Linked DNA regions of Macaca fascicularis. The protein of the gene in region 1 interacts with the protein of each later gene in a pairwise test. Links are inferred from orthologs where the notes say so. Each region holds a gene or a part of one and is shown on either strand. Other genes may lie near its edges.

Region 1 (3,500 bases):
GGCGGACGTTGCAGTAAGCCAAAATCACGCCACTTCACTCCAGCCTGGGTGACAAGAGCAAGAGTCCATCTTAAAAAAAAAAAACAACAACAACAATCTGAGGAAACCGCTAATGTCAAATAAAAAAAAAAAACATTTTGATGATGCATTAAGTATGCTCAACCGCACCATCTTAATAGGGCATTCAAGGCCCTTTACAATCTGGATTTAAATTCTTTTTCAGGCCTTACTCTTCTGGCCTTTTAATGACTACCTGCCATATTCTATGACGTTATTTCTCAAACAGAAAGTGTATACTTTCATGTCTGACATTTTCAGTGTATACTCTATGGTATTTAACAGCTGACTTGATTCCTCTACACAACTCCCATGGATGACTGATTAACTCAGTTCAAACGTTAAGCATTTGTCAATCAGTAATTTTTACTCCAAAATCAGAGACAGAATTGTTATATACAGCAATAACATTAAAATACTAATGATTAGAATACTGGTATTCTAAGACAAATAGTAGTACTATGCTTCATATAAAGTAATGCGCTTTATATATTGCATTTTTAAAGTGTATTGCATATAATAGTTTGCTCCATATACTTACATATACTGCATGAGTTTAAACACGACAAGCCAAATAAGTCTAACATTTACTTCATGTTAACTGAGACTGATATCAGATTGTCAATGTGGTAACACTCTTAAGCACATCATTCTATTTCTTGTTTAGTATTTGCTATCATCAGTTCTAAATCTATTACCCAAAGCCACCCATAACCCAGTCCCTAGTCACCACACTCAGCGAATTCTTTTGTATTTTTAGTAGAAACAGGCATTATGAAATAATGCATTAAAATCATTATCACCCTACCTAATAATCTACTTAAGGTTATTTTTTTCTTTTGGAGGAAAGGGAGTATGTTTGGAAACATCTTTGATGTTCATCACCACAAACTAGAAAAACAAAATGGTTCTCATTAATAGCTGTTTAGCAGAAAGGCAAAACACTTTTAACATACCTATCATAATAGTCCCGTTGAAAGTCATAGTCCAAGTCAAAAGAGGAGCTGAAAAATAAATACCGAAAAGGGTTAATTTGGAAACGCTGCTACTAATTCACAACATCAGGTGAGGGGAGAACCATGCCAAATAAACCACAACAGATAGATCAACAAGATTAGCACTGAATGATCCCCAATCATTCATACAATAAATCACTCAATTCCAATCACCTTAGACCACTGGAAATGTAGTGGTCAAATTGGTAATTCAGGTTAAAATTCACTAAGATTTCCACATACGACATAGTTAAACTGAACACTGAAAAACAGAATGGTAAACTAAACATTCTTATACCACACTTCTTCCCTCTCTTACTCTCTGGTGTCTTAGAAGCTCAACGATCCTGTAGAAGTATTTCAGGCTATGCTATAAATATCAAACTACTCCTAAACATCAATAGCAAAAACCTCAGGGATTTTTAATTCTCTAGTAATTTTCGCTAGGGCAAAAGAGAGACATATTAACACAAAAATAATGAAACCTTATTTATACACAGATAAAACACAGTACACTTAACCCTCCCCACATCCAGAAAACAGATAGAGAAGATGCCCACTGATGGACACAATGCAGTTATAAATAATAAAGTTTCCGGACCTGAGTAGAGGGGACGGAGAAGGGTGTTCTGTTACTGACCCGTACATCTCCGCTGCAGATCGTTTCACACCTGCTTTTCCTCGGTTCACTTTTGGCTCTGCAGCCAGGTTAATATCTGAAAAACAAAAGCAAAAATTTTAGTGACAACTTTGTATCCAGGTAAAACAAACTACAAAGTTAATTTTTTTATTTTTGAGACATAGTTTCGCTTTGTCGCCCAGGCTGGAGTGCAATGGTGCCATCTAGGCTCACGGAAACCTCCACTGCCCGGTTCAAGGGATTCTCCTGCCTCAGCCTCAAGAGTAACTATGACTACAAGCGGGCACCACCATGCCCAGCTAATACAAAGTTTAGAAAATCACAGACATAAAAATTAGAAAATATGAAACAAAACAACTCATCTTTCCTATTTTTTTTTATTTTATTTAAGAGAGGGTCTCACTGTCATACAAGCTGGAGTGCAGTGATGCAATAATGGCTCAATACAGCCTAGACCTCCAAAGCTTGGGTGATCCTCCCATCCAAGTAGCAGGCACCACCAACGCTGGCTAATTTTTCTGTTTTTCTTTTTCTTTTTTTTTTTTTTTTTGAGATGGAGTCTCGCTCTGTCGCCCAAACTGGAGTGCAGTAGCCGGATCTCAGCTCACTGCAAGCTCCGCCTTTCAGGTTCACGCCATTCTCCTGCCTCAGCCTCCTGAGTAGCTGGGACTACAGGCGACCGCCACCTCGCCCGGCTAGTTTTTTGTATTTTTTAGTAGAGACGGGGTTTCAACGGGTTAGCCAGGATGGTCTCGATCTCCTGACCTTGTGATCCGCCCATCTCAGCCTCCCAAAGTGCTGGGATTACAGGCTTGAGCCACCGCGCCCGGCCAATTTTTCTGTTTTTCATAGGGACGAACTCTTGGGGTCAAGTGATCTGCCTTGACCTCCCAAAGTGCTGGAATTACAGGTGTGAGCTACCATGCTGAGCTTCATCTCTCCTTTTAATATTAAAAAGGCTCATAAATTTTTACAAGGCTAAGACTTCATCTTCTATGTATTTGCACTCTGTTCTGTACCACTAAAGTGTTCCTGAGACATAACATTAAGTCTGTCTTTGGTACTCTCCACCCTCAGATCCCACTTTAACTCAACTCTCCCCATTCAAGGCACTGACTGTTCACTCAGTTACTATTACAAGAGAAAACTATCAATGGTTACCTTTCCAAGAATGGTTCAGTTCATTCCGAATTATTACAAATATATTAAAATATACGCCAATCCACAAAACAATATAGTGCAGTGTGACACCCTCAAATCATCCTCAAAGGCAACTTCAGATTTCCCTTATAAGTAAGGATTAGCTGTACTGCATGTAAAACATCCGGGGTTAACAACTGCTTTCTGAATAATTCATAAGTTGCTTAAATAACCTTTACATATATCAAAAAAATAAAAGAGCAAAGGGAAACAACCCTAGTTTTCAAATACAATTTGTAACACATAAGCCCAGCTACCTACCCTGCCACCCATGACCTTCCAAACAAGAATTCATCTTCTCCTTGTTCTAAAAACCCCATGTCAGAAAGCCAATTCAGTTTTTTAACTTCCCAGTCGTGCTAAAGCACTCAGTCAACAATACCTCCATTTTCATATATACTGCTTTAAAATTAGTCTCATTTTAATACACACATGCCCCAAAATATACAAATTCCATATATATATATATTTTTAGACGGAGTCTTGCCCTGTTGCCCATGCTGGAGTGCAATCACGGCTCACTGTAACCTACGCCTCCCGGGTTCAAACAATTCTCCTGCCTCAACGGCTTGGATTACCGGCGCCCGCCACCACGGCCTGCTAATTTT
Region 2 (4,100 bases), on another chromosome or scaffold:
GGCACAGAAAGGAGGAAATGATAACTTAGGAGGCTACCGTAAATATTTCAGAAGGAAAGTCCTGAACAAAGCTGGTGACAAATACAAAAAAAGAGAGAATACCAAAAAAGGCAGAAATAAACCAAAAACGGGCAGGGCCTGGTGGCTCACGCCTGTAATCCCAGCACTTTGGGAGGCCAAGGCAGGCATATCACGAGGTCAGGAGTTCAAGACTAGCATGGCCAACATGGTGAAATTCTGCCTCTACTAAAAATACAAAAACAGACCGGGCAGTGGCTCACACCTGTGATCCCAGCACTTTGGGAGGCCGAGGCGGGTGGATCACGAGGTCAGGAGATCAGAGACCTTCCTGGCTAACATGATGAAACCCCGTCTCTACTAAAAATACAAAAAAATTAGCTGGGCAGGGTGGTAGGTGCCTGTAGTCCCAGCTACTTGGGAGGCTGAGGCAAGAGAATGGCGTGAACCTGGGAGGTGGAGCTTGCAGTAAGCTGAGATCACACCACTGTACTCCAGCCTGGGCGACAGAGGGAAACTCAAAAAAACAAAACAAAAAAAAAATACAAAAACTAGTCAAGCATGGTGGTGCGTGCCCGTAATCCCAGCTACTCAGGAGGCTGTGGCAGGAGAATTGCTTGAACCCAGGAGGCAGAGGTTGCTGTGAGCCAAGATTGTGCCACTGCACTCCAGCCTGAGCAACAAAGCAAGACCCCGTCTAGGGAAAAAAAAAAAAAAAGAATAAACCAGAAACTGGTTGGCTCTGGACACAGTGGTCAGGTCAAGGTACCCAGTTAGCAGCTAGAAATGCAGGGAAGTCTGAAGGAAGGTCAGAGCTAAAGGAAGATCCTAAATCAGCTTCAGTGGATTATGGAAGGCAGGAAAGAAGACAATTACTAATTGGGAACAGAGAAAAAGATCTTCACAGATAGTTACAACCTAAGGCTAAAAATGTTAAGTTTACTGGAATTTCTAAGAAAAGTTCCTACTGATTTTCTGGATTTCACGTAACTCATAAACCAAAATACATTTTTTACCTGGTTGTTGCGGTTTTCCTGCAGCGGAGAAGTAGCATCATCAGGAAATGAGCTTACGTTTCTCCTCTTCAGCATCTGGTCATCCTTCTTAGCTTTCCTCAGCTCCACATTGACCTCTATTCTGCGACGCCTCATTTCCTTGAGAAAAGATAACATGCCGTTTCACCTATCACATCAGTTTTTGTTGCTAAGTGAGGGTATTTTTAAAAAGATCCCTAAGTTTTCACCCCTTTCCAAATGTCCTCCCATTTAAACACCACCACAGGAAAGCAACAGAAGGTACTCACTGTACTGTCTTTTCCCTTGTTCTTGAATCTGTGAAGACGGGCAGCTGGTGTATTAGCATTCTCATTGGTGGACATGGTTATGAGACAAAGGGAGAAAGCTAAAAGATGGGCGAGGAGAAAAATATTTCCTTTATCATTTTCCTTTGTCAATAATAGTACCAAATAAGAATTGAATTATCAAGCATCTACTGAATCCACACCTGTATACTAGAGGGGGGATCATCATGCTTTCAGCACTATGAAATAGCTTTACCCAAACGGGAACTGTCCCCCTTCCCTCTGAAGCGCTGAGACTTCCTGGAGAGGGCTGTCCATCAGAAATAGAATGCAAGCTATATAAATTGAAACTTCCTAGTAGCCATACTTTTTAAAAGGCGAAAAGAAACAAGTGAAACTAATTTCAATAATTTATTTTACTTAACCCAACATATCCAAATAGTATTTCAACATATATATTTCAATATATAAAATAACTGACATCTTTTACATTCTTTTTCCATACTCTATCTTTGAAGTCTTTTGTGTACTTTAAGCTTACAGCGTATTTCAATTTGGACTAGCCACGTGTGTCCACCGTTTCTGACAGCCTGGCTCGATACTCCAGAGTCCCTAATAGTTAATCCAAGGCAAAGCAGGGGAACCAAGTTAACTTACAGCTAAAAATTATGTGCCAGGGCAATAAATTCAGATTCTCAGGAGGCTCGCACTACTTTACTGTCTTTACTTGGCCAAAATAGGTGCAGATTCGAAAACTAAAAAAAATTTGCTTCATCATTACATTATGGTCAACATTAAAAATGCAGTGCCGCATGTCGCATATTTGATTTGCATTTCCAGAGACTAGGAGCGAATGCACTTAATTAGGACGACATCAGCTGTGCGTCATTCAGAAGACGACAAAAGTCAAAGCCCTCCTTACAATTTGCTATCTTTGCTTTCATTACGCTCGCCTACGACTTGGTGGCACAGCCACCCCGGGGCCAAAGTGTCAGAGACAGTGCTCCCAACTGCCACCCCCAGCCCCTGCCCCTGCCCCTACGTCGGGGAAGATGCAACGAGAAAGGGGGAAGCGAGGCCAGGGCCGCCACGAGCCCTCCCGGGACATTCGCCCTCAGGCCTGGCTCGCTCCGATTCTCCCGGCCGCGACGCGTTATGGTCTCCGCTGCCGTTTGAAGAGCGTCGGCGCCCTAAACCCGCAGACCCCGCGAAACTCAGCCGCCTGGTCAATGAACCAGTCGCCCCCGAGGCCTAGACAACGCGGGAGGCTGAGCCAGGCTCGGCGTGGACCCGGGGCCTCCTTCCCCCCACCCAAAGGCGAACGCCGCCCGCGGGCAAACCGTTAGCGCTCGGGCCGAGCCGCCGCCTGAGTCTGTACCTGAGAAGCGGGCCCGGGCTTCCACGGGAGGCGATGCGGGGAATCAGCGGCTGTGGGACGGCTGCGCTCAAAGGGTCCACCTCGACTCAGCTCAAAGACCGTGTGGCTCGTGCAGCCGGCCGGCGCGATTTAAATTTCCCGGTGACTCCGCATTCCGATTGGCTGGTTCGAGCCCAAGCTGTGTGCCCATTGGTGGATTTGAAAAACACGTTGAGAGGGGAGGGAGTCATAGGGCTTAGGGGCGAGTGGGAGGGGGGGAAAAAAAAAAAAAAAGGAGGATGGCATCGCGAGATGAGGGAGCAGACGGGCGGTTCCCGAGCGCCTGGCCGGGCGGAGCGGGAGGACTCCAGATCCCGTCAAGCAACGCGAAGGGGCGGTCCCTGGGCCGTTCGTGTTTCCACTGGATTGAAGCGCGCATGGTCCCTGGGCGTTTTCCTGGGCGAGAGCCTTGAACAAATACCGCAAAATGATTCTCAAAGTCATTATTTTAAAAAAACTTTGTTGTTGATCTTCATGAAAATTAAAAAATGATAATTAGTAAATAAGTAATCTTTATAGAAAGACATATTGCTTTGCATTTTTTTCCTGTTACGATATCCGAAGAACTTGGCAGGGGTTTCTGGCCACTATGGGAGGGAAGATTTATGTTATATTTTTTAGTTTAGTTTTTTTTTTCAATTGCGTCGTAAAAGACTGTATAGAAGCCGCAAATATAGTAACAAAATATTTCTTATTCCTGTTTCTCCAAACACTCAAGTTTTGTATTTTTAAATAATTTCAAATGCAGCAGAATTGCAAATCCTTATCCAGATTTGCCAAATGTTAACACATTTGCTACTGCAATGTCTCTATACATATATATGTATACCTATGCACATGTGTACCTATGTGTGATTTCAATATGTTACTTTTTGAAACATTTGAGAGTTTCAGAATCATGTCCTTTTTCCTCTGTTTCACGGTGTATCTCCTAAGAAAAGACATTCTCTTACATAACCACACTGCAGTCGTCAAATTCAGAAAAACTGAAATTTCATGCTGTTGTTTAGTATGTAGTCTGTGTTCAAGTTTTGTCAATTGTTCCAGTAACATTCTATGCTCGTTACACATTTCTGAATTTTGCATTTTTTGCTATATGCTCAAACGAAGAAACAAAACAAAGATGGTCAACAGAGCATCAGGATTATGGGCCATTTTTGTTTCTGCAATTTTTTTGTGTTCTAAAAGATTACATTTTAGAAAAGTTGTCATGGTTTATTTCTTACTATAAATAAATTCAAACACCAAATTTGTCCATTCTTGCAGTCATTAATGCCAGCCTCATTCATTGTATAGCAGCCAGAGTTCATAAAGGGTTGCACCTACTCTTAATCAGCATAATCCCATCCCCCTAAATGCAAGAAT
Region 3 (3,993 bases), on another chromosome or scaffold:
GAATGATAGTAGGTTAGAGGATATATAGTATTGAGGACTCTATTCATAACTGAATTGCTGCTTTAAAGGGAATGTACATTTATGATTTTAGTAGTATCCTCATTTGCCCCCAATAGATGTTGTACCAATTTATATTCCTACCACTAGTGTATTGAGAGCGCCTGTTTCCCCACAATCTCAATAAAACAAGTGTGTTATCAAACTTTTGGATCTTTCCCAGTCTGTTAGGTGAAAAATGGTACTTTAGTGTACTTTTAAAAACAAACTTTAAGTTTTAGAACAGTTTTAGTTACAGAAAGGTTGCATAGTACAAAGTTCCACATACCTGCAACTCAGTTTCCCTTGCATAACTCTGGTACATTTGTCACAGCTAACGAACCTTGTTATTAACTAAAGAGCATAGTTCATTCACATTTCCTTAGTTTTTACCTCATGTCTTTTTTTCTGTTCCAGGATCCCATTCAAGATACTACATTACTTTAGTCATCATGACTCCTTTGGTTCCTTTTGTCTGTGACAGATTCTCATGTTTTTGATGACCTTGCTATTTTTAAGGAGTACTGGTAGTCAGTGCACTTTAAAATTTGTGAGATTGGACATCTTTTCATACACTTAAAGACATTTGCATTTCCATTTCTCGGAACTAAGAGCCCATGCTTTTAACCACTATACTATACCTCTTTCTTGATTCACCATAATTATCAGTAAAACATTTGTGAACCTGAATACACACAGACTTCTGATTCTAAGTGGACAAAACTCTCAAGTCTCTGTTACAGATAGAGGAGAACCATTAATACAGGTGATATAGTCAGACTCGTGTCTGATGACTCTGGCTACATCATGAAGGATGAAGCAGAGGCTCTACTGGAAACGGTAGGTAGGCTGGATAAATCCTTGAAAGAAAAGCAGTGTTGATAAGAAGTTCAAAGGAAATTACAGAAGAGCCAGGAATTAGTGGTAATGAATGAGAGAATCAAAAAGTCAAAGGTGACTCGGTTTTTTGAGCTGGATATTTTGGGTCTTATTTTGAACCTAGATGAGCAATTCAAAATCAATATTTGGACAATGTTCAGCATACCTGTCACTCGAGACCTACTTTCTCTTTCTGTCGCCATAGCTCTGTGCTACTACAATTCCCAGAGCCCCATGCTCCATCACAATCCCCTTAGAGTCCGCCGCGCGGAGTTCTGGGACTTGAGGTCCGCGGCCTATTTACGCAAGTTGGAGGTAGGGGCCTGTGGAAACATGAAGAGGTAAGGACTTGTCTGAAGAGCAGGCGGCAAGGGGAGCTCTCTTCTACTTTTTCTTTTGAAAATGGCTTCAATTGCTTTCTGGTTTGGGTATTGCACGTTCTCGGGATGCGATTTCATGGGAGCGGGAAGACGACAAAGGAGACGGGAGGAGGGGAGACGGGCTGAACAGGCCTGCAGAGCGAAGGTCAGGAAGGGCTGCCACCGGGCCCGGCTGCTGTGGGTATGCCCTCCCGGCATGGGCCCCGGGAGCTGGCCAGGTGCTGCGGCCTCGTCGTTTCACACGGACCCAGCTAGGCAAAAGGGTTTGAGGCTGACCAATTCCCGGCGCCGGAGATGAAGGTACCTCGGGCCAACCCCTCCTCGTCCTCCCCTACCGCCACCTCCACCTGAGAAAGGCTCGGGGCCAGCGTATTTATTTGCAACGTCTGTGTGTTGGAGACTACTTGCTCGGGCCCCGAAACCATATAGCGCTTTCCAATCTTAAAGTAAAGGAGCGGTACTTTGTTTCTAAATGTAGAAGGAGAGCACCAAAGCGGTTGGATTTTTGGGATGGGGGGAGGGGAGGTGGAAGGCATTGCTGGGCTCAGTTCCCCTTACTGGTCCTGAGGTAAATGGCCGCTTGAGCCTAAACGGCCCGAGCCTCCCAACTATTGACAGGCTTAAATTAATTTTTAGATTCACGCTGCAAGTAGAATCATCACTCTGGAATAGTGCAGTGCGTTTAAAATTCTTACTGATATGTTTTCCTGCACTGTCAGTTCCTTGCATCTTTTAAAAAACCGTTTTTGACTTTCCCTGCCTGAAACTAACCTTTAACGTTTTTTTTTTTTTTACAGTATCTCATCCATGCAAAATAATGTATAATGTATATATACAGCTTAAAGAATAATAAAGGTTCGCATCCACTGCAAGCTTCAGAAATAGGACATTGCCAGTCCCTTAGAAGTCTACTGTGTCTTTTCCCTCCCTTCGTTCCCCTCTGAGGTGACCACTATCCGGAATTTTGCGTTACTGATTCCCTTGCTTTTAAAAAAGCAAATAGTTTCTAGTACATATGAATTTATCCCTAAACAAAATGTTCCTAGTTTTATCTATTTTTCAACTTTATACAAATGGACACATATATTAATTTTTCCGTGATTTGCTTTATTTTTTTACTCAACATTTCTTTTTGAGATTCATGTGTGTTGATGTCTAGAAACTTTAAACTTAGTAAGAAGTTTTGGGATTCTAAGTAATAAAAAATTGAGATACTTAAAATGAATTTTTTAACACCTTGGGCCTAAAGATAATTTAGAATTTTCCAAAATAGGGCCAAGTCTTTCTAGAGCCTGGGAATATTGTTTTTAATTATGGGTGTTAGTTTTTCTAGACTTTATCATAACCTCACTGGGAAAGAGCTATTTTACAAGGAAAGTATTTGATATTTGGTTTTTTTCCTGGAGTTAATTCATTTTTTGTATTTTTTTAAAATAATCTGTTGTTTCATGCTTAAATGGCCCTGTTATTTCTTTACACTCTAATAAGAGTTTTTAATTACTTAGTTAGTAGATCATGCTAGCCATGGCCTAGATTTCTACACAGTGGTGCCCAGGCTATAAAAATGTTAGGACCATCTTCATATTTCTTTCTGTATTCTCTCCTTGGAGATCTCCTCCTCAGAGCTCCAGATCTTGTTATCACAGATGACTCAAGATTTATACATTCAGCCTCGGACTCTCATCTCTCATTTTCCCTTTAGCCAGTCACTCATGCTGTCCCTTCAGAATCATGTATTTGAAGTACTCCTGATACTTCATGCTGGCGTTTCTATTGTAAAAGGTACTAGACTCAACATGACTAAAACAATACTGACTTTCCCTTTCCCAAATCATTTATTCCATCTAGAGCTTTGGCTTTCCTTCATTGGTACCATTGTTCTCTCAGTTACACAGACTGAAATTTTGGGATTATCTTTGACTTCCTTGCCTCTGCTTCCAAAAGTCCCCTCTCATCTAACCCTTTCTTTCCATTTTCACTATTACCATTTCAGTCTAGACCTTCATCACTGTATACTTCACTAGTTTCATAACTAGTTCTTGTTTCTTCCCTTTGAATCTCTATGGCATATTATAACCACATTCATCTGTCTAAACTATCACTTGCACTGTGTCACTTAACTGCTTGATAAATTACTACTTCTCATTATCCTTCAGTATATATTACTGTCCCTTTGTACTCTCTTTTCCTGTTTTCCTTTTCTTCATCACACACTTTTCAATGTCAGCGTAAGAGTACCTTTCTGAAGTCTTCCTTTACCACCTTTTTCTACCAATTTTCTCTTCTGTGAATTTCTACTAATTTGGCCTATGCTTCTATGTGTTATTATTCTCTCCTCCCACCGCCGACACAACACGTACATACATGTTTTTTCTCCCTAAATAGATTGTGACCTTCTTAAGGATAGAGACTATGTCTTAAACACCTTCGACTTCCCTCAGTACCTAGCATAGCGCATTCTGTGTAGACAGGTATTTAGTAAGTGTTCATGGACTAAATGGTAAAGGGCAGTGAATTGTTGGAGAAGTGTCTTTGAATAAATGGGGTCTCTAATGGTAGATAATATAGATAAGGAATATATTTTGAGACTCACAGTCTCTACTGTTTTCTGTATATATTCTTATATCTACTCCAGGGTAAACAGCTGTGTGAAGAGTGATGAGCATGTCCTGGAGGAGCTGGAAACAGAAGGGGAGAG
Region 4 (4,127 bases), on another chromosome or scaffold:
GCCACCACGCCCAGCTAATTTTTGTATATCTAGTAGGGAAGGGGTTTCACCATGTGGCCCATGGTTGGCCACACTGGTCTCGGTCTCTTGACCTTGTGATCCGCCCGCCTTGGCCTCCCAAAGTGCTGAGATTACAGGCGTGAGCCACCGCACCCGGCCGAAAGCAGTTCTTTATCAGTGCAATCCATCCAAATTTCCCTGTTTCATTCCTTCGATGCCCCCGGAGGGAGTGGGAGTGCTACACAGGAAAGTGTGCGACCCAGGGCTTGGCTGCTGCCTGAAGGCTAAGATTATGTGTGGTGGTAGAACAAGAAGTGTTGGGGGCATGGAAATACAGGGACTGCCAGAGTGAAGGTTGCAGAACCGGGGTTGGGAGGATGATGAGAAACTGGGCGACACTAAAGCGCCACTTCAACAAGTATTTATTGCGTATCTACGACGTGCTAGGCATTGTTTTGACACTAGAGATTCAGCAGTAATTCAACCAAAGTACCTGCTCTCATTGAGCTGAATTCCCGTGCGGGCAGCCAGGTAACGCACGTAAACACTCGTATCACGTAGATACACATGTACATGTCAGCTAGAAATAAATGCTATTTATAAAACTGAAGCAGAGCATGGACACAGCGAATGAAGGTGGCTGCTATTTGGGAAGACCTCCAAAAAAGCGAGACTGCGAAGCACCCGCGGTTGTTCTTTTTCTGATTTTCTACCTACCCGCAGCGAGGTGCGCTCCCAGAAAGCTCCGCCCTCTTCCTCCTGATAGGGCGCAAGGTGCCAGGGAAGCTCCCCTCTCTTCCCCGCCCAGAGGCCGCCTTGTGGGGGCGGAGCTTTGCGCCCAGCAATCTGAGCGCGGCGCGCAAAAAGCCGCGCGCGCAAGGGTCCCGGCATTCTCCTCGTTCGCACTAGGCGTGGAGAATTACCCCAGGCGGATCGTGGCATGCTGGGAACTGTAGTTGACGACCGCTCCCCCGACCCGCGCCTGAGGGGCGGTAAAAGCCGCCAGGTCCGGCTCCATTTCTGACACCAGACTTGCAGCACTCAGGGGTTGTGGAGAGCCCTAGCAGGGAAAGAGGGCAGGGTCATCCCGAGAACCAACTGGCACGTCCAGCCCGGCGAACGCCCAAGCCGGTCGCCGCCCCCGGTCACGTGTCGCCAGCCTCCACGGGCGCGCGCCGCTCTCAGCACTGTTCCCGCCCCACCCGGCCCGGCAGTCTGCCCGCGCCTCCCCCGGCGCTACTGCCACCTCGCGCTCGGAGGCGTCACGGAACGTGCTCTCCTCTCACCCTCCCCCCTCCTGCTCTCCTCCTCCTCCCCCTCCCGCGCCGAGACTCGCCGCCGCCGCCGCAGCCGCAGGAGTAGCCGCCGCTGGAGCCGCGCGCAGCCATGGCCGAGAACCCCAGCTTGGAAAACCACCGCATCAAGAGCTTCAAGAACAAGGGCCGCGATGTGGAAGTGAGTGTGCTTCCGTGGTCTCGGCCCGCCTGGCCGCGCCGGGCCGGCGACGCGGGGAGGGGCGGGGGGCCGGCGCCGGGCTGGTTCTCGTCGGCTTGTGGTCGGCCGGAGTTGGCCGCCGCCTCCCGTCACCGCGGCCCCGGGTTGGGCGGAGCGGGCGGTGAGACGCGGGCCGGGCTGCAGTCACCCTCCGAAGCTGCCGGCGCGGCGACCGGGAAATGCCGGGGTTTTCGGCCCCGTCACGCGGGCGCGGCCTTGTGTCGGCGAGGAGGGGATGTGGAGCTGAGGCGGGGTCCGCGGGCCGGGGCCGCCCGAATGAACGGGGATGCTGCCGCCCCGGCCCGCCGACCGCACAGCCGAGGGGGCGGCCGCTGCTTGCGCCCGCCGCTGGTGCAACCTTCCGCCCGGTGCAGCCCCCTCTGCGCCTCCCGCGCGGCTGCACATGGAGCCTCGCCTCTGCCGGTCCCGGCTGCTACCTTCTGCTAGCCGGGCCCAGGCGGGCGGTGGCGGCCCGCAGAGGGGGGTGGGGACCAGCCGGGTAACTGACTTGTTTGAGGGTGATGGATGGGGGAGGGTAGGATGCGCCAGGACCATTTTCTTATATTCCAGTGCTCGTCTTTGGACTAGTCGTGCCGAGCTGTTCTAGCTCATACTCCTGCAACTGCTGGCATTTGGAGCGAGCTGAAGGTGGACAATAGTTTGCCATCTATTGTGTTCAGGCTTCGGAAAAGAGGTTGTTCTGACCTCCGCTCATAGGACTTGTTTTCTTAGCCTTTCTTGGAGTGGGGTGTGCATAGAGTGATACAATTTCTTTGACACGTTTTACTAAAATAAATTGGATACATAGGGTTCATACGTCCTCTTACGTACCTCTTGCTCCAAGCTAGTAGAATTTCCAAGTGGTTGCAAAACTAAACATTCATCGCGGTCACTCAGTTAGTTGCTACTCAGCATGTTGCCATTGTCTCATTAAGGTGACATTAGCAGGTACTATTTGCAAACTCGGCTTGTTGAGGCAGCGCTAGAGGTCTCTCTGCAGCTACTGAAAACAGTAAGTATAATGCACAAACTTCACTGGGACCGTGACCTTTGGATTTGTTAGGGGGAAAATAGTTTTAAGGCCACAGCCTTCTTTTCTAATACTAGCCGACATGATTTGCAGTTTTGTAATTTTTGGTAAGAAGCTGGTGTGATTAAGAGGTGTGTATTTTATCCTATCTTAAGGAAGGTTGTGGGGGTAAATACACCATTCAGCGTTCTATTTTGTAGAGAAACAGACAAACTCAGGCCGTTTTTCAGAGCTACAAAATTAAATACTAGTAGGAAAAAACCTAGGGAGATATCCGTGGAATTCCCATTTAAATGAGTCAAAGATCATATATTCTTTCCTGGTCATGGTTAAATATCCTTTGTGAGAAATACATCTAAGCAAAAGTAAAACTTGGGAATAGACACAAGAAATTTTGGAACTGCCTCCTGTTATCGGTCCACTTGATGACAAGTGTTAATTTTGAACTTTTCCCATTAGGAATTTTTCTTGACGCCTACCCTGTTCCAAATAAAAATGTATTGAAAAATACTCATATTGTTGGTACAGAAGAACCAGTAACATTCTTCCTTCTCTTGGATATTGGTACAGGTTTTTGTTTCATTGTTTACCTCTATTATTGTGTTATGGTAGCTCAGTGATACTTAGTAAGGACTCCTGCACATAATAGGTACAAAACAAATATTTGCTGATGATAAGAATGTAACCAGTGACTTTTAGATGCATGAAAAAGAGCATGGTTGCTAAGCCATTCAGCCTGGTGTTGGTCACAACATTACATTTCTCGGGACTCTACAGGGTAACTAACACATGAAATAGACATTCAAATGGTAGTTCTAATGTGACAGACACTGCGTTAAGAGCTTCATGATACCTTATTTAATCTGTGTAACAAGTGTATGAGTTAGGTGTGGCATTATCCCCACTTTACATGAGGAAAGTATTTTTTGAGACGGAGTCTTGCTTCTTTACCCAGGTTGAAGCGCTCAGGCACTCCTAGCTCAGCTGCAAGCTCAAACTCCTAGGCTCAAGGAATCTTCCCACCATGGCCTCCCAAGTAGCTGGGACTACAGGCAGACACCATCACACCTGGCTAATTTTTTAGTCTTTTGTGGAGACAGGGGTCTAGCTTTATTGCCCAAGCTTGTCTTGAACTCCTGGGCTCCGGTGATTCTCCCACCTCAGCCTTCCAAAGTGTTGGAACTACAGATGCTAGCCATCACACCCAGCTGGAACTTTAGGTACAAAACCTCAGTGTGCTTATGTAGCCTGTGCATGTCACTCAGTGGATATGGGTATTATTTATTCACTGATTGTCTATGGGTATCTATCAATGTTAGGTCTTGGGGATAAGGAATAAGATGCAGTCTGTACCTCAAGGAGTTTACAGTCCAGTGGGGGTGATAATTACAATGCAGAACAACAATTGTTACAGTGTAGTATTCCGAAAATGCATGCCAAAAAACTACTTGGAGGTGAGCAGAAAGGGAAGATACTCTGGTTGATTTCTAATGAATGAATGGGAGTAAGCTGAGTGTGAAGGATGAAAGAAAGGTGGCCAGGCAAAGAGCGGGAGAAGACCGGTGGAAGAAAGGGGCATTCCAGACCAGAGGGAGCAGTAATT
Region 5 (4,284 bases), on another chromosome or scaffold:
TTAAAGTCACCAGAGGACAACCATAAGGCACTATGAATTTCTAAACAAACAAACAAACACCCTCGTTAATGTCAATGTATACTTGTTTTTTTAAAGTCACACATCACAATCTTCTTCTAATACAGCCTCAGCACTTAATCTGATTTTGACTAAAGTGCTAAAAGATATGAGGTAGGAGGAAACATCAATTTAAAAAATAAGGATAACTTCAGAAAGTCTGACAATTCCACCAAAGGTTGAACGCCAGTTTCCATATGATCTAGCAATTCTATTCCTAGGCATATAGCCAAGAGAAATAAAACATACGTCCACACAAACATGTTCTTAGCAGTATTATGTAAAATAGCTAAAAAAGTGGAAACAATGAAAATGTTCATTAACTGATGAACGGATAAATAAAATGTGGTATATCCATGAGCTGGAGGATCATTAGGTCATAAGGAGAAATGAAACACTGATACATTCTTGTTACGACATGGATAAACCTTGAAAACATTACACTATGGGAAAGAAGTCAGTTACAAAAGAGCACAAATTGTACAATTCCATTTATATGGAATGTCCAGGATAGGCAAATCTAAGAAGACAAAAAACTGGTTGCCTGGGGCTGGGGTAGTTGGGAATTGGAGAGTGACTGTTAATGAGTACAGGTTTCTTTTTGGCGTGGTGAAAATGTTCTAAGATTGATTGTGGTGATGGCTGCAAAACTGCGAATACACTAAAAGCCACTTTAAGTGGGTGAATTGTATGCCATGTGAATTACATTTCAATGAAGCTGCTAGAAAAATGAAGCCAGAAATGTAGAGGAAAAAAGGGTTACAGGGATCTGTCAAGCACCTAATTGCTCTTTTTCTGGATTCTGTAATTTTGTGGTAATTATCAGTTTTTAAGTTTTATCATTTGTGATTTTTTTCTCATTCTAAGTATTCATATTAGTAAAAAACATTTTCACCACCACAAGTAAATTTACTGAAAAATCATTGTTATTTAAGCAGCTCATTTTTATAGCATGCGAATTATCTCAATAAAGATGTGACATCTTTGTATTAAAAAAGGGATCACAACGGTAATATGTTAACCTTAAAAGAACCACAGAATTAACAGCCCTGGACACTTAGTACTCCCTCAAATTATGAAACCCACTAAAACGCATAAACTACTTTAAAGATAATATTAACAGCTTTGTAAAAAGCCCAAAAAATATTTCAGTCAAGCAAACGCTCAAGTTCAGAAATGTCATGGGAAGTTGAAGATTTCATTACGAAAACATACCGAGGAACAACATAAAAAATACTGCTTGACCACTTTCCCTAAAAGCTAAACTCGTGATTAAGATGCAGAAGGGAAGTATTAAAATAAATCTATTTATCTAAACTATTAAAGCTGAAGGGAAGAAGTCTTCTATCAAAAATCTCAGTGGGGTGTGTGGGTATGCGTGTGTGAATGCATGTATTTAAACCATACGCCCCATGTAGACAATCTGGGGAGCAGCTGTATCTAAGACAATGATTTTTTTTTTCTTTTTTAAATAATCAAACGTGATGGTGCCATTCCCTAGCCCACCCCATCCCCCACTACCACCACCAGCAGGTGGAGGGAAAGGATACTGTAGACTAGAGGATGACAGCTTTGTATAACCCTTTGGACTTTATATGTAAGAATGCAGCTGGTGGTCTCCTCTCAGGAGGGGGTAAAGAGATTTGTGGACAAGCTGAAATAAGGGGTATCCTTTGCCTGGAAGAGGGCACACCGTGAGCCACATCTTGAATCAGCTATATCCAGAGTAAAACACAGGCCGCTGGAAGGCACTGTTAGCATCACCAGGATGGCCTCTCACGCCGGGGGTGTTTTTTTCAACGGAGAAGTTGTCCTGTAGTTTGGATATTGGGGGGAGGCAGGGGTAAAGCGGGAGTCGGGAAGACCAGAAAAAATGCCTTTAAGTGGAGACGCCTCAGGCCTCGCTGAGGAAGTTCAGAGCCCCACTCGGTCGCCACACGCTCACCCTCCCACCCCCACCGCCCTCCTTCCCGCAGCGCCAGACGTCGGTGCCCGAGCGAGAGCCGGAATCTCCGCCGCTGCCAGGGAGGGCCGCGGCCCGGGCCGGGCAGCGCCGACCGCACACGCACGCCTCCTCCGCACGCGCCGCGCCCGGCCTCCCCGCCGCGCGGCCCGACCCCTCGCACCCGCGCCGGGCCGGCTCTGCCGGGCAGGCCTAGGCCGCGCCGGCCGTACCCGGGCACCTCGCTCCCCGGCGGAGGCGGAGCAGGCCCGACATAAACTTCCCGGCGCGCTAGCAGAGGCGTCACGGACGGGCCGGCCCCCAGCGCCATTCCCCGAGGCCCGGAGGCGGCTCCCGCCCCTACTCCCCACACTCGGGGTCCCGGCGGAGACCGGCCCCAGGCCCACGGCCCCCACCCCTCCGGCGTCGTCCAGCAGTTTACCTCCAAGTCGCGGCCTTTGTTCTTGAAATTCTTGAGCCGTTGGTTGTCCAGTTTCTCGTTGTCCGCCATGGCCGGGCCGGTGACTCCTTCCCCCGCCCGGGCCCCGCGGGATCCGCCCCAACCACCGCGCCGCACCGACACTCCCAGGAACCGGGTCGCCGCCTGAGCTGCTGTGCTCGCCGCGCCGCCGCTTCCTTCCTCCTCTCACCTGCCTCCGCCGCGGCCTTCTCCTCTCCCCGCCCGCCCCCCCGCCCTAACCCCAGCGCGACTGCAGCTCCGGCAAAGACAACTGTGGGGCCGGGCGGCGGCAACGGCGGCGGAATGTGCTGCCGGCTGAGAGGGGGAGGCAGCCTCGATCTGAGGGCCCCGGAGCTGCGGCCACGCCCATCGCCTCCAGCCCAGCTCGCCCATTGGCCAACCAGGCTCCGGTGCGTTCGACCAATGGGAAGGGGCGATGGAGAGCCGGGGCGGAAAGAGCGAACGGAAAGGGGAAGCGAACGACGCTGGGAGGAGCCGGCTCGGGGCCGGGAGGGGTGCGGCTGGGGTAGGCAGGGAAGGACCACGTGCCTTCGGAGAGATGGGGAGGAAGCGACAGAGAAGTACACTTCAGGGGAAACCAGCAAGGGGAAGGAGAGGCCGGGGAACGCAGCAGGGCGAGTTGTTTTGCATCACTCGTCCGGGAAGCCCTAGATGCAGGGGTCCAGGGTCGAGACTGCGTTAAAGTAACGTTCTTCTCTCCCCGGGCGCGCCCTGTCTTCCTGGGCATTCCTTGCGCTCTCTGTTCGCTTTGCAGAGAGATCTGAGCTTCGCTCTTTCCCAGGTCGGACGCTCGCAGCTCCGTTCCCGGGCTGGGGCTCCCTGCCGTCCAGGGTCGAGTCTGGGGGCCAGGACCTGCAGGGATGACGTGAGTTGAGGAGGCTCAGCGGAAAGCGACAGGAACGCTGGGTGGAAAAGGAAAGGGCCCAGTAGACGTATCTGATTTATCTTCTGTGACTAAGCGCCCGCAACAGGTAGGAATTTAGGCAGAGCTGGTGATCCTTGGACAATAGCACTTCCTAGGTAATTCGTCTTAGAAAGTTAAAGAAGCTGCTTGACCACAAAGTATGAACTTCTGGAGGGCGGAGCCCGTGGCAGCTGACAGGGAATATTGTCTGTTGAGAAAGGAAATGAATTCCAGGGATACCAGGGACAACAACATTACCAGAGGCAGAAATGACACGAGATACAAAAGAACGTATTCAAAAATTTCACAAAACAGAAATGGAAAATTATCTTAAAATATATTGAAATATCAACGAATAACATCTCAAATGTCCAGGGATATGTAAAGCAGCAACTCTGGTCGGAAGCAAGGAATCGAGGCGTTGGGTGTGTTTAAACTTGGCTAGGCAGGGAGAAGAGACCCTGATACAAACTCCTTCAGAATCGTTGACTCCCGGTCCTTTCTAGTGTATTTTTTGAGCAGAACAACGTGCAGAGATAAATGTTTAAAATGCATATGTTTCTTAGGGAAACACTTTTAAAGCCAACAGAGGGGAATTTTTTTTTTAAGTTAAAATGGAAGAAGTCAGTGGGTTTAACAGATGTGAACAACTGAGTTTCCTTTGGGGGAGAGGTAATGAAAAGAGCCGGAGTACTTTAGGAATCACTTTGGAGAGGATATTGTAGTGGGGGAAAGGAAAGTAAAAACTTAGGAAGCAGAGTAGTACCTTTAAAGTCGTCAATACTTTATAGACCATCAACTGGGCTATGGACAACAGAAGCTGTGCCTGGGAATAACTCACACTGAAGGTTAACTTGAATATAAATTTAGAACAGATCTTAAATACAAATGATGATGTTC

The links. The genes of interacting proteins can lie anywhere in the genome.
Region 2: the proteins of HNRNPC (region 1) and KPNA2 interact in binary tests that used the Homo sapiens proteins (3 or more experiments, as listed by UniProt). The link is inferred for Macaca fascicularis from reciprocal best matches to the Homo sapiens genes HNRNPC and KPNA2.
Region 3: the proteins of HNRNPC (region 1) and RBM41 interact in binary tests that used the Homo sapiens proteins (3 or more experiments, as listed by UniProt). The two-hybrid records come from large-scale screens. The link is inferred for Macaca fascicularis from reciprocal best matches to the Homo sapiens genes HNRNPC and RBM41.
Region 4: the proteins of HNRNPC (region 1) and KPNA3 interact in binary tests that used the Homo sapiens proteins (3 or more experiments, as listed by UniProt). The link is inferred for Macaca fascicularis from reciprocal best matches to the Homo sapiens genes HNRNPC and KPNA3.
Region 5: the proteins of HNRNPC (region 1) and KPNA4 interact in binary tests that used the Homo sapiens proteins (3 or more experiments, as listed by UniProt). The two-hybrid records come from large-scale screens. The link is inferred for Macaca fascicularis from reciprocal best matches to the Homo sapiens genes HNRNPC and KPNA4.

Annotation. Positions count from the first base shown.
Region 1 is NC_088381.1:88,893,804-88,897,303, forward strand, and holds part of HNRNPC (heterogeneous nuclear ribonucleoproteins C1/C2), read right to left. Parts: intron 1,769-3,500; coding exon 1,654-1,768; intron 1,062-1,653; coding exon 1,014-1,061; intron 1-1,013. UniProt on the Homo sapiens protein: Binds pre-mRNA and nucleates the assembly of 40S hnRNP particles. Interacts with poly-U tracts in the 3'-UTR or 5'-UTR of mRNA and modulates the stability and the level of translation of bound mRNA molecules. Single HNRNPC tetramers bind 230-240 nucleotides.
Region 2 is NC_088390.1:74,459,201-74,463,300, reverse strand, and holds the start of KPNA2 (importin subunit alpha-1), read right to left. Parts: upstream 2,801-4,100; 5' UTR 2,697-2,800; intron 1,420-2,696; 5' UTR 1,397-1,419; coding exon 1,322-1,396; intron 1,173-1,321; coding exon 1,035-1,172; intron 1-1,034.
Region 3 is NC_088395.1:113,706,579-113,710,571, reverse strand, and holds the start of RBM41 (RNA-binding protein 41), read left to right. Parts: upstream 1-1,193; 5' UTR 1,194-1,248; coding exon 1,249-1,256; exon of another isoform or gene 1,257-1,595; intron 1,596-2,090; exon of another isoform or gene 2,091-2,240; intron 2,241-2,995; exon of another isoform or gene 2,996-3,077; intron 3,078-3,930; coding exon 3,931-3,993. UniProt on the Homo sapiens protein: May bind RNA.
Region 4 is NC_088391.1:28,951,568-28,955,694, reverse strand, and holds the start of KPNA3 (importin subunit alpha-4), read left to right. Parts: upstream 1-1,327; 5' UTR 1,328-1,386; coding exon 1,387-1,455; intron 1,456-1,605; exon of another isoform or gene 1,606-2,506; intron 2,507-4,127. UniProt on the Homo sapiens protein: Functions in nuclear protein import as an adapter protein for nuclear receptor KPNB1. Binds specifically and directly to substrates containing either a simple or bipartite NLS motif.
Region 5 is NC_088376.1:63,526,380-63,530,663, forward strand, and holds the start of KPNA4 (importin subunit alpha-3), read right to left. Parts: upstream 2,801-4,284; 5' UTR 2,511-2,800; coding exon 2,442-2,510; intron 1-2,441. UniProt on the Homo sapiens protein: Functions in nuclear protein import as an adapter protein for nuclear receptor KPNB1. Binds specifically and directly to substrates containing either a simple or bipartite NLS motif.